Linked DNA regions of Sus scrofa. The protein of the gene in region 1 interacts with the protein of each later gene in a biochemical or structural test. Links are inferred from orthologs where the notes say so. Each region holds a gene or a part of one and is shown on either strand. Other genes may lie near its edges. The genes, in order: GABARAP, STK3 and RETREG1.

Region 1 (4,503 bases):
CCGCTAGCCGCTGCCGCCACCTCCCTTTACCACTGCCTCCCGCACTCCCGGACCGGGCCCCCTCCCCCCGCGCCGCCGGCCGCCTGCTCCCTCCTCCTCCTCCTCCTCCTCCTCCTCCTCTCCTCCCTCCTCCTCCCTCCCTCCTCCCTTCGCGGGCGCCGACGCGCAGTGCATCAAGGGGATTGTGGTCCGTCTGGGGAAGACGGAAAGGGGACTTCATACGCCTCCGGAACTTCAGTTCCCAGCAAACCATGGGTTGGCGCAGGCGTACTAAACCGCTCTCCTCCCCCGGGGAGTGGCGGGGAGATTGGGAGCAGAGGGGAAAGCGGAAGAGTGCGCGTAGACTTCTGGGAAATGTAGGCGGGGCGGGGCTAAGAAAGAAGGGGAAGAAGGGATTAGATCTCTCGGCCACCATACTGCCTCATTCTGCGGCTTCTTTTTCCACCCGGGGACCGCCCCACTTCCGGCTACACGGAGACTTGGCTGCTGGGAGATGAAGTTCTCGTGGTAATAATGGCTCCCTCCTCCCAGTCTTCTCCCTAACTTGTATTCCACTCTACTGGAACCCGCACGCCGGCACAGAGTCTGGCTAAGGGACATATACCTGAGGACAGAGTTCTTTTACCAGCTCCACACTTGGAAAAAACCCTTCCTTGATTCAAAAGGTTATGACAAACTTGGATGGGATATCCAAAGCAGGTACTTTCAAACTTTCTCCACTGGAACCCACAGTAGAAAACCAACTTTTTTTAACCTCAAGCCCCTATCTATACACGGGTACATAACACAACTTTCATGAAATGATACTCAGAGTATTCCATCCATCACAACAAAAGCACACTTTCTCTGCACAAGGAAAAGCCCAACATAAGGAGAAGAAATAAAAATACATTACTATCCCTCCAACCTCCCTTTCCCCCATTGAGTAGAGAACAAAAGGCAGAGGGCAGCAACACAAAGCAAAATCCAGTTCAGCTTGGTGGTTTCCTCTTTATTGATGTGTATCCTACCTTCCCCGCCACAATTCAGTCCCTTCCATCTACCCCCCAAAAAGAAGGTAGTGAAAATAAGGGATTGTTGGGATCCTGAGCCCCCTGGGCAGTTAGAAAGGAAACAGAAACCAAAACGACCACTGGATGTGACAGAGATGGACAATCAAGAAGTCTAAAGCTGAGTGGGAAGGTGGTAGAGAAAGGGAAGGAAAGGAGTACTGGAGGCCATCTCCCCCATTAACCCTTGTTTTAAGAAGGGCTGGAGGAGAGTCTCAAACATTAGGAAGTGTAGGTCCTGAAGAAAGGAGGTGGTGTTTGAGCCTCAAGGAAGGACAGGTCGAGGAAGGTGGGCCACCTCTCTCTGTCTGAAGAATGGGACCCCCGACCTTAAGGGCAGCAGCTTCACAGACCATAGACACTTTCATCACTGTAGGCAATGTACAGAAAGAAGTCTTCTTCATGGTGTTCCTGGGGTGAAAGCAGAAAATGACAGTGCTCAGGCACCTGGGCTTTAATTACTTGAACCAACCACCACCCAGGCACATTCTTCCAAAAACATTCTTTTTGAAGACCCCCAAAACCAGTGCTTTGACTCTCCCTCTCACTTGCTCCAGACCCTAGCGGCTGAGCAGTATTATCCTAGCAGCAGTCCTAGGCATAAAAATCACACATTGTTCTCTGCTGCCTCGAAATGGGGAGGGGCCTGGGGAAAGTCCAGATCACAACAGTTGCTCCAACTCACTGTTCTCTTTTCTCTCTACTCCCACTGCCCTGTCTAAATCCCCAACCCAGAACTATAAGGAGATTTTAAAGCCAAATTTAAAACTGAGAGCTAAGTAAGCCAACTAGTCCAAGACCTGCTGACTTAAAACTTCCTGCCTCTCAAGTGCTTCCAACTCCTCTCCAAAGCCTCCACTACTTCCCAGACACTATACCTGGTACAGCTGACCCATCGTGGCACTGGTGGGTGGAATGACATTGTTGACAAAGAAAAACAAGGCATCCTCAGCTCGGAGATGAATTCGCTTCCGGATCAAGAAGTAGAACTGACCAACTGCCAAAGAAACAAGGTCTGAGAAAGTCTGAGGTCACAAACGCCTTCAAAAGAACAGCTGCTATGTGGAGCCTCCTCCAGCAGAGACCACATTCCCACCCCCCAGGAAGCAAACCTGGCTACTGGGTCAGGTTCTCACCTGTGAGATCAGAAGGCACCAGGTATTTCTTTTTATCTAGGTCTCCTATCCGAGCTTTGGGAGCCTTTTCTACTATCACCTGATAAAGAGACGAAAATTAGGAGACATTAGGTATACAGGCCCACAGCTCCACCTGTCAAGAACTCAACATTCCTAGCATCCCTACCTACCCCAGACTCATTTCTCTTTGTCTCTGAACACGCGGCGCAGTCCTGAGCAGGGATTCTGATCCCACTGACTCAAACTCACCTAAACCTCCAGAATCCCTGAATAGGACGTCATAACAAACAATGATTTTAATCAAACAGGCATGTCTTGTCTGGGCCGACTAGAGCTTCAATCTCAAGCACCCCCTGTGAAGCTCGGAATGTCAAACGCCCTACACGAATCCAAGGTCTAGCTCTCGCGCCTACATCCCCTTAAGCCTACATCCCCTAGCCCCCCAGTTCTAATGCTACCCCACTCCTTTCACCTCCAGTCCCACAGACAGCAGTTTCGGGCTCATTCCCAACCCTGCCACAGCTGGCAGCCTGATGCCCGCGCTGCGGGTCTCGGACTCAAGCCCAGGCTGTGGCGTCAGCGCCAGCGCCCCGCGCCCTCGGCCCTGGCTACTGTCCTCACCGGCACCCGGTCCGGGTATTTCTTTCGGATCTTCTCGCCCTCAGAGCGACGCTTCTCGAACGGATGCTCTTCTTTATACACGAACTTCATCCTCCCGGGAACCGGGTTGGACCGGGCTGGGCTGAGGGAACCCGGGGGGGCCGGGATGGGGGGCGGCGGCGACGGCGGCGACGCGCGGGCGGATTCAGCGGAGCGATCCCGGACCTTGCGCCACTTCCCTATTCACCAACCCCGCCCCCGGCCGTCAGAGGCCGCCCCACTCGCTATGTTACGCTCCTAGCTCAGTGGCCCCAACGCCACTAGCGTAGCGCCACCTACTGACCTCCCCCCTCACGCAATCAGCGTAATCGCTTTGGAATCAATTTACGGGCTACGCAGGCGACGTAGGAAAGGTGGCTGGCTTTTTGCTATCATAGAAAATAACTGAAAACCCATTTCCTGACTTTTTCCACAGGATGAAAAGGGCTTGGAGATGGTAATCATAATTTGAGACTTGGTTCTCCGAAAGTGCTTTTCAGAAGTAACAGAGGTAAAAAAGCAGATAATTACAAGGACAGCTATTCAGGAAAGGTGCTGGTACGCTGAAGGCGGCGGTTGACACCAAAACAAAGTAGTACCCCAATGGAGCAAGCGGTCTTTGGAAACAGAGGAGGGCAGAAACGAGACCTATGTTTGGAAAGACGCTTATGTTTCCAGAATGCTTAGGTTCCAGGAATGAGTGGACGAATAGGGACTGGAGAGGTCTGAAAGGTAGGGACTACGTCAGCGCGGAGGAACACAGTCTTCGCGGCTCACGGAGAGATCATGTGATCGCAGAGAAGGGCGGGGCGTCACGTGGCGAGTGCGAGGAAGTAGAGCCGGCTGCGGCTGGGGGAGCAGGGCCAAGGGGAGGGAGGTGGGGCGCCAGGGGCCTGGGACACCCCCCCCTCCGCCCCCGGGGGGCTGCGCCCGCTCAGCTAGTCTAAGTCAGGCCCGCAGACGAAGCCAGGCCTCTCCCAGCGTCCAGTTCTCTTTTCCTTTCAAACTTTTCTGTGTTACTGTTCGGAAGCTCACATTCCCTCTGGACACAGGGCTGTTCTTTCGCTCCCGGCCAGGGTATCATCCTGCCACTAAGACCCTCCCCGCCAGGGTGGCCAACACCCTCCCCTCAGGTCAACAGCTTGCTCCTTACCCTCTGCCCAGAGCCAGGGTGGGTGTGAACAAAGCCCCTTCATTTCCCCCAAACCCAGAGAAGGACCTAGGGCAGCTTTGGTTTCAAAGTTATAATGCATGGTTTAAGTAGACGAAAGAAAAAAAGAGAAAGCTCGTTACAGGTCTGAGGGACTCTAGGAAGAAGGGAAGATGGAAAAGGAAGGGAAGGGACAAGTTTGGGGAAAATCCAGTGGCCCAAAATCCCAGTTTCCCACCCACAGCCCAGCCCTTGGAGTGAAGAATTAGATCAGTTTTGTACAAGAGTTTTTAAAAAATCAAATCACAACAAAGCTGGCTTGGCTTCTCTTTGAGCCTCCCGGATTACCGAGTGTCTTTCGCTCACTCTGGCCAGTCCTGTCTCCACCAGACAATGTTTCAGCTCTCCCAGGCCTCCGCTTTATGTCCCAGTCTGGGGTTTCCGGGGAGTGCGAACACGAAGTTAGAGTGAGGCTGCTTCAGAATCTGGCCCATGTGTCCATCCAGACTCCATACGGAGTGCAGGGCTC
Region 2 (3,993 bases), on another chromosome or scaffold:
GTGTGTGTATAATGATAAATATAACAGTAACAACTTTATATAAAGTATTTACATAAAAATTGGGATTGGAACATGGGATATTATTAAAAGGCAGACTCTTATTGAGCCTATTAGTAATAAATTGTCTAGTTGAGCAAACTGGAGCAAAATCATCTTCATAGGTTTCTTGTCATTTCATTTAGGTGGTTTTACTTGGATGATAGCAAATCAGTCATTTGATTTCATCAAATTTGGTGAGGTATTAGGCAATTCTGAAAAGAAAAGCAATTAAGAAACAGAAATAAAGGGTGGGCTGTTTGATTGACTCCCCTGACTGCCCCAAACAGATGTAGCTGAAGTATATGTTGTAAATTCAGTTTTCATATTTTAATAACTTATAAAAATTTCAATATTTTCCACTATTTTAATGATCTTATAATTTGTATCCAGTTACACAGTTTACTAGTTGTAAGGACTCAACACAGCAAAAGAAACACTACTCCAGGCATTACCTGGGGCACAATGCCATTTTATTTTATTTTAGTTTTATTTTTGCTTTTTAGTGAAAATGGAACCTCCATGGCATACGGAGGTTTCTAGGCTAGGGGTTTGAATCAGAGCTGTAGCCTCTGGCCTACACCACAGCTCACAGCAACACTGGATCCTTACCCATCAAGTGAGGCCAGGGCTCAAACCTGCAACCTCATGGTTGCTAGTTGGATTTGTTTCCACTGCGCCACAACGGGAACTCCCCAACGCTGCCATTTTGGAGAACAGAAGTTTCCAGAGATGACACACCTCCTGAGGTAGTCATTAGTGAGCCTGTCAGCATGTGGTGAGCACTGATGTTACAGCTTTGTCAGCAGGGTCCCTGGGTATGAAAGATGGGAGCAGGGCACACAAGTGCCAAATAACCTGGCTAGCGGTAAGCCACTGAAGGGTTCAGAGTTGTTATCACAGCATAATCTAGCCTGTCCAGACAAATATACCTTCCTTGCCCTGGAAAAGACAGAATCCAGGTCATGAGTTTTTTAAAAAAAGATACAGAGATGAAATGTGTTGGGTGGCACAGTAAAATTTATTTGTCTTTATGATTTACATGTAGTAATTAAACACACAAAAGAACAAACGCTGTCAAGATGGCCATATGTAGCTTAGGAAAATGACTGGTCCCAGTTCAATCATGCAAATGTTCATTCAGCTTAGAAATGAGTTTCTTTTTAATAGTTTTAATCTTTATCAGTCCCCAAGGCTTGCACAGTTCAGTACAAATGTTTCTGCTATTTTGCTATCATCAGGCACATGATGTTTACCAATTCCCAGGAAATAAATGAAATCAACAAAAATGTCTGGTGACAACTGAGCACATTTTCACAGAAAAAATGTCATGAGCTTATTACAATTTGATACAGTTTAGCTATGAGACCTACACATGAAACAATATTCACAATTACATTTGTCTTAAGGAATTATTTCTTTTAAAAAATTTACCATGCTTTTTTGTGCAAGGGTTCCATTGATTTCTTTGGTTTTAAACATTACAGCTCTGTCTGACCTAAATATATATAGTTTTATTTGTACCAAGCATCAAAAATAAAAAATTAAAACTTCAGAAGGTAAAAATGGAATTATTGCTTCTGTATAAAAAAATGCCTGGGCCCTTTGGGTACTATTGCTATTATTGCTTTGCTTCTATTGGAAAACTATCCTGGAAATGAAAGCATGTACCCCAGAGCTCCCTGCTTACAGTATAATTGGGTTGTTCATTATCATCTAGTAATAGTCCCTGCCTTCACCAAAGCTATCCTGATCTTGTCCTTAAAAAACAAAACAAGGTGAAATAGCATAAATAAATAAGTTTACCTAAAGGGATACAATAAATAGGCTAATAGAAAAGAATAAAGAATACTGTAACATAAAGCCCTTCGGTGCTGTACAATTACACAACAGCTTTGGATTTTCAAGGTTTCTAAACACAGCCTTCGTTTTAAAACACAGTTTTAGTACTGGTATGCAGCTGACAGATGTAGAGAACACCATTTCTGCTGTTTTCATTATTTAAAAAATGAAAACACAGTGGATACAGTATTAAATTCTGTCTTTGGGGAATTTACCTGGGTTTGTACCATCGTCAGTTTTTGACTGCTGCCTGGTTGTAGAGCACGGATCTTAAGAGATTGAAAAAGATAGCATAATACCCCTTCAATTCTTAGTGGTTTCTTGGTCTCCAGAACAGTCATAGAAACAAACAGAGGAGAAATTAGATTCAAAAGTTCTGCTGCCTTCTTTTCTTGGCATCCATCGCATCCAGAATGGGTTGTCTTTTCGCAGTGTATCTCTGACGGAGCTCTTCTATTTCTCGCTCCATCATGGGGTCCAGCGCTTTTAACCGCATCTGTAGTTCTTCTAAACTTAGATTTTTTAACTGAGTGTAAGGAAAAAAAAGTAATAATTATCTATAATGGGTTAAAGTCTAATGAATTTTAGCAGGAATATTTCAACTCTTTACATCATCTTTGAAATATGGCTCAACAATTAAAACATGAATTCTTTCCTTGAAGAATCAGGAAGCCACATCTTGCGAGAAAGAACCTCAAGTAATTTGCAATGAAACAGTAAAACAAAAACAAAAAAAAACCCTTCTGCTTTTAGGAAAGAACAAATGAGAAAAATAAGCTAACAAAAATGTGTGTTTAAAAAAGGCAGAAAGATACATCCACCATTGTCACCAAACAGACTTTCTGGCTAAGTTGGGGATGTATTCCCTCTGATCTCGCACAGCCTCGCCAGCTGTGGAGCGCTACAGCAATCACAGATACTTGCAGAGATCCCCCAAGAATGTGACAAGACTGAATACAGCTTAAATTGACTGCTCTAGCCTGCATTTTACCAAAGGCTTAAATTTTAAGCACTTGGTTAATCAGAAAATTAAATGATCCAGAATACTTTTACCCCAAGCATTTTGATAGAATAGGGCTTATGATTCAAAATAACCTAAATCTAGTACAAACAGTGCCATGTAAGTTCTGACATGGGGCTTGGCCAATTTGAAAGTGAAATACTTCTCACATGTTCACTGTATACATTATACAGTAATGGTATGATTTGACTGAATGATTTAGTTTTATTGTGCTAGCTTCTGGGGATACCACCAGCGCATCCTTTACTGGTTTTCTGTGTAACAACAGAAGGCAGGCCTCATGTCCTGTGTGAATGGGAGATAAAATCTGTTCGATGTAACAGGATCTATGGCATCCTGAGATTTATTGTATTTATTTATATGTCAAGTCAGTAAGATACGGGTTATCTCCTGATAAACATATTTTAGGGATACTGCCTCAGGGCTCATAGGATGCCCTGAAATATATAACCTAACACTTTTAACAACAACAACAAAAAAAATCCAGAACTCTTGTCTCCTTCAGAAACTGACTCTTAAAGCAATGGGGGCAGGCAGGTAATTAAAAAAAATCTGTTAAAGCACAATGATTTACCGTTTGCTATTACTTATCTTGGTAGGAACTGTAAGAGAGTAAAGAAGTACTATTTCCTTGCCTTGAGAAACTTACAAATTAGTTGTAAGATTAGCAACTATAACTTTTAAGGATTGATGCAAGACCTTAAGTCCTATTTTATGTGGTACAGATGACAGTGAGAGATTCTTAAATCCATGAATAAGCTTCTTGTGCAAAATTATGCATGTTCTCGTGTACATCTTCCTGAAGGAAGCATCCATTGTTTTTTGTTTTTTAAAAAAAGATTTTAAAGATTCCTGATTAAAAAAAGAAATGACCCTTGCCTTAAATGTAATGGAGAGAGGCTTCCTTTAGGGCATGGGGACTGAGGGAGATGCCTGAGCAGTGAGCAGGGCCCTAGGAGTAGGCCTTGCCATGCTGAGGAGGAAGGAAAAGAGGACAGGAGACTCGGGGCTGGTGGAGCCTGGGAAGCCAGGCAAAGCAGGGTGTGGGTTCAGGGACCATGATCAACCATGGAGCAGGAAATTACATGAGAGTA
Region 3 (4,855 bases), on another chromosome or scaffold:
ATGGAGGTTCCCAGGCTGGGGGTTGAATCAGAGCTGCAGCTGCCAGCCTTCAGCACAACCACAGCAACGTGGGATCCACGCTGCATCTGTGACCTACACGGCAGCTTGCGGCAATGCCAGATCCTTAACCCACTGATCAAGGACAGGTATTGAACCTGCATCCTCATAGACACTATGTTGGATTCTTAATTGTTGAGCCACAATGGGAACTCTGATGTCCCTAATTTTTTTTTTTTTTACATTTTATTGAAGTACAGTTAATTTACAAGGTTGTGATAATTTCTGCTGCACCAATGTCCCTAATTTTGGATGCATGACTTAAGTGAGGTCTCATAGCCCTGAGTGAGTATTTCCATTACAGCAGTAATCGCAGTTGTCACTGGCCTCTCCTTGGACTGTGAGCTTCCTGTGGGTGGAAGCCATATCGACAGAGCTTAACAATGTGTTGGGCACATAGTAGGTGCTCAGCAACCTTTTGAGTGAACTAGGAATACACCCTCTTTAGGTATAACATACACACAGTAAAGTGCACACATCTGCAAGTACAGATCAATGCATTTCTACATATGGGTACATATATAATGACCACCAGATGAACTTTATAGAACATTCTCCAGAGTCTCCCTGGAAACAACTGGCTTTAACTGCTCTGGGAATGAGAGGCATCCCTCCTGTGAAGGAAGGTTGGTTGCCAGCAGTGAACTCCAAGAGGCTATAGGATGCTCTGACTCATCATAGGTAGACCGCTGTGGACAGGGGAAGGGACATTTTACCTTAGAGAAAAGTAAGAACAGGGATTAAAGAATAGAACATTTAAAAATGCAAATAGTGGGAGTTTCTGTTGTGGCTCAGAGGGTTAAGAATCCGACTAGTATCCAGGAGGATAAGAATTTGATCCCTGGCCTCGCTCAGTGGGTTAAGGACCCCGCAGTTGCCCTGAGCTGTGGTGTAGGTGGCAGACTCGGCTCAGATTCTGCACTGCTCTGGCTGTGATGTAGGCTGGTCGCTGAAGCTCCGATTAGACTCCTAACTTCCATATGTTGTGGGTGCGGCCCTAAAAAAAAAAAAATGCGATAATGAAAAGTGAGTGTAAACACTAATCCCCCACACTCACTCAGAAGCACCAGGGGGTGAGTCCCGGTACCCCTCTCACAGGGTCCTGCCCCTCTTCTGATGCCTGTGGTGACACAGAGACCACTTTGAATGACTGAAGTCTAGGGTGGCCAGACCTGCGTGACACATTCAAGGGGTTCTGCTAGTCAGCTCCCCTCTCACCTGTGCCTCTGAAGCCCAGCGTGCATCTGTGAGTCAGATGAATTTGCCCACAAGTCGGAGAGAGGAAGCCCCATCCCCCATCGCTGCGGCCTGTCGTTTCCTGACTTTTAAAACAAGAGGGCCAGACGCTCCTGAACCGACCCCCAATTTTTTTTCCTTTCATTTCTCAATCCAGCCTTTATACCATCACGTTATTCCCAGAGGACTAAAGACCTCTGCTACGGATGTGCAGGCTGTCCCTGCAAGGGCACTCGGTCTAGGTGGGGAATGGTTGCTGCCAGGGGAGGGGCCGCCTGTCACACACCCTTTAAGGCTGCAGGATGGGCGATCGGTGGCCCTGGAATGAGAAAGTGAGGATGTCCAACTGATTCTGCCCGTTGCCGTGACTTTTCTTTTAGATAAGACCGCTGGCGGCGGTCCTCTACCGCGTCTGGAAAGGAAAAAGGGGTCACGCTTCCCCGGTCCCAAGCTAGGCCACCGCTCCCCAGGGACGCCGCCCGCTCGCACCCCAGCGCGGGTTGGGGAGGCCGCCCGGCACCTCAATGCCCGCCGCCCGCCCCGCCCGGCCGCGCACGAACTTGGCCGCACCCACTTCCCCCGGGAGGCGCCCCGCCTCGGCCGGGGCTGACGTCACAAGGCACCCAGCCGCCCGCGCCCCGCGGTGCGCGCCCCGCACCAGGACCCGCCGCCCTCTCTGCGCGACTCCCAGGCACGCCCGCGCGCGTGCCCGTGCCCGTCCCCGCCCGCCAGCGCTGCTGAAGATGGCGAGCCCGGCGCCCAAGGAGCCAGCCGCGCAGGGATGCCCGGCTCCAGCCGCCGCGGAGCAGGCGCCGCCGCCCCGGGCTCCCGCCGAGGAGCAGGAGAAGGAAGCGCCAGAGGAAGGGGCGGCGGCGGCAGCGGGCGCGGGGCCGCAGGTGGAGGAGGCCGCAGGCGGGGTGGCCGCCGCGGTGACCTGGCTGCTGGGGGAGCCCGTGCTGTGGCTGGGCTGCCGCGCCGACGAGCTCCTGAGCTGGAGGAGGCCGCTGCGCAGCCTGCTTGCCTTCATCGGGGCCAACCTGCTGTTCTGGTGAGAGCTCAGGGTGGGTGGGGAGGCCCGGGGGCGGGGGGGGGGGCAGGTGACCTTGGGGCGCCCATGGGCAGGCGGAGGGCGCTCCCGGCCCCGGTGTAGGGGGTGCACGCGGGACCCAGCGGTGGAAGGTCTCAGCCCTGGCCCACTCTCTCTACTACCTTTCTGGAACAGGTAGACAGGCACTTCAACTTTCCTGCACACGCACTTCCCTGCAAACAGTGGTCATCCTCCGTGTGCATATATCCAGCCTCACAGGGGAGGTAGTAGACTGACCCGCCTGCACCTGGGCCGACAGGTGTGCGCAGAGCGTACTTGACCTTTGCCTTCTGAAACTCGCAGGTCTTGATCAGCTCGCCCAAAGCCTGCTGGACCACATCTACTTGGACTTGTATTCGTTTATACACCCAGAGCGGGCATATCTGGACCAGCTTAGGTCTCCATCGGCCACCTGAGATGGGCACTGAGTGATTTGTTTTTCCGTTCCCTGGAGAGTTGGGGTTACTGTCTTTACTCCCTGATGAGAAAACAAGAGGCAAACAGGTGGATTATGCTCAGCACCCCGCCCCCAACCCCCAGGTGTGCACAGTATGGGAAACAGTCGTGTTTGGGGTGAAGAACAGAGATAATACAAAGAAATGTTCTCTGAAAAGCCCCTGATCAACAGGTTTGTCCCTTCAAAAAGCACCCTTCACCTCTAAAGACAGGGGAAGTGTCTGACTCCTCAGTGAAGGATGTGCACTGTTATCTGTTACCAGACTGGTGGAGGGCGGAGAAAAGCCTTTGTTTGCAACTGTGTCTTCATAGCAAGCATGACCCATGCAGTCTAGGATAGGCAGAGTTTCAGTGACAGGTACCTTGTTACAGGACATAAGTTTCTTAACCTTTAAGTTAGAAAATAAATTATTGAACAACACATGGATAGCCTGCCCCTTTCTAGGTTAGATCTTTTAAGCTGGAGGCTTTTCCTGCAGATCTCTGTTCTTGCAGATCTAGTTCTGGTGTTCTCTTGAAATGAGCTGTTTCTTATCAGGGCCCCTGAATGTGAATTAACTTTTCTGGGATGTTTCTAGAGTATTCCTTCCATATTTCTCTAACCTGTTATGACGTTAACCATGAGCACTCAAACAAGGATGATATAGTGTGCGATGCTAGACTGGGCAGTGGTCCAGTAGTCTTAGGGCTGAGGCTCCTTCATTTTACCAGTGAGAGACATGTTTTTTTTTTTTTTAAATTCTTTGGTTTTAAATTCTATTTATTAAAAAATAGCTAATAGTCTCACAGTTCAAACATTTAAAGGTATAAAGGGATAAACACTTTGTAAATCTCTATCATGCCTGTCTCTGGCTACCCAGTTTCCTCCCAGAAGCAACCGATGTTACCAGATTACTGTGTATCTTTCCAGATAGTGCATATTTCAGCAAATACATAGTATTCTACACAAATTGCGGAATACCATCTGGACTACTTTTATTCTTGGTGTTCGATCACTTCCTTGTTCTTTTTCAGCTGCATAGAATCCCATAGTATCACTGTCACAGATTAATTTGTGGACTACTGATGGACCAACATTATTTCCAAACTTTTGCTCTTTCGATGTTGTAGCTAGTGGCCAGGCGGGAACAGGCATTATTTTGCATATAAGCCAGTGTTTCTGTAGCATAAATTCTCAGAAGTGGAATTGTTGAATCAGAGGGATGTGCACTAGTAATTTTGATGGCTATCACTGTATTATTGCGCTTCCATGGAGTTCTACCAAGTTATACTCCAACCAGCAACGTGTGTGACTGTCTGTTTCTCTATATACCCTTGCCAGCAGCATTTTATCAAACTTTTTGATTTGCAAATCTGATAGGTGAAAAAGGGTATCAAAATATGGTTTTAATTTGCATTTTTCTGAGGTTCAGCATGGTTTTCTTGTGTTCAAGAGCCATTGTAATTATCTTTGCTTTACCTGTTTACAGATAACTTTTGTCTGTATTTTTAATTGAGCCATTGGGCTTTTTCATATTGATTCATAGGAGCTCTTTTTATATTAAGAACTTTAGCCTGATTTCTGTTACATGAGTTGCAAATATTTTTTTCTATAATGTCTTCTTAGTAACATCTATTGAAATGAATGATTTTTGCATAAAGTAATTGAAAAGCATATTTGGTATTATTCAGGAGTGATGTCTTCCATCCATTTTTTAAAATAAGTGTGGTGACATGGAAATTTATTAATTTCACTGAAATGTTTTAGTTTTTTTCCCCACTGTTGTTTCTGAGGTTAAAACATTTTTCAAGGACATTGTTTTCTCTAAATAGTGTACTTCTTATCAAGCGACTTCTATTATGTGGCATTCTGTGTCCCAAGAACTCTAAAGCTCTCTATTTTTTTTGTGAGAAAAACAAAAAGGTCAATGTTAGAAACATGAGGAACCTTATGATGTTTTCACCTTAATTGGTGTTATTTCATTTTTGTGGAAATTAACTTTTTAAATGCATACTTCTGATTGGTTCAGTGCCTGGTGC

Evidence for each region.
Region 2: the proteins of GABARAP (region 1) and STK3 form a complex in vitro, tested with the Homo sapiens proteins (2 studies listed by BioGRID and IntAct). The link is inferred for Sus scrofa from reciprocal best matches to the Homo sapiens genes GABARAP and STK3.
Region 3: the proteins of GABARAP (region 1) and RETREG1 are reported together in a solved structure, tested with the Homo sapiens proteins (2 studies listed by BioGRID, with this or other methods). The link is inferred for Sus scrofa from reciprocal best matches to the Homo sapiens genes GABARAP and RETREG1.

What each region holds. Positions count from the first base shown.
Region 1 is NC_010454.4:52,595,165-52,599,667, forward strand, and holds GABARAP (gamma-aminobutyric acid receptor-associated protein), read right to left. Parts: upstream 3,003-4,503; 5' UTR 2,897-3,002; coding exon 2,807-2,896; intron 2,265-2,806; coding exon 2,186-2,264; intron 2,047-2,185; coding exon 1,928-2,046; intron 1,461-1,927; coding exon 1,395-1,460; 3' UTR 966-1,394; downstream 1-965. UniProt on the Homo sapiens protein: Ubiquitin-like modifier that plays a role in intracellular transport of GABA(A) receptors and its interaction with the cytoskeleton.
Region 2 is NC_010446.5:38,303,821-38,307,813, reverse strand, and holds the end of STK3 (serine/threonine-protein kinase 3), read right to left. Parts: intron 2,405-3,993; coding exon 2,246-2,404; 3' UTR 1,037-2,245; downstream 1-1,036. UniProt on the Homo sapiens protein: Stress-activated, pro-apoptotic kinase which, following caspase-cleavage, enters the nucleus and induces chromatin condensation followed by internucleosomal DNA fragmentation.
Region 3 is NC_010458.4:5,876,478-5,881,332, reverse strand, and holds the start of RETREG1 (reticulophagy receptor FAM134B), read left to right. Parts: upstream 1-1,871; 5' UTR 1,872-2,036; coding exon 2,037-2,341; intron 2,342-4,855. UniProt on the Homo sapiens protein: Endoplasmic reticulum (ER)-anchored autophagy regulator which mediates ER delivery into lysosomes through sequestration into autophagosomes.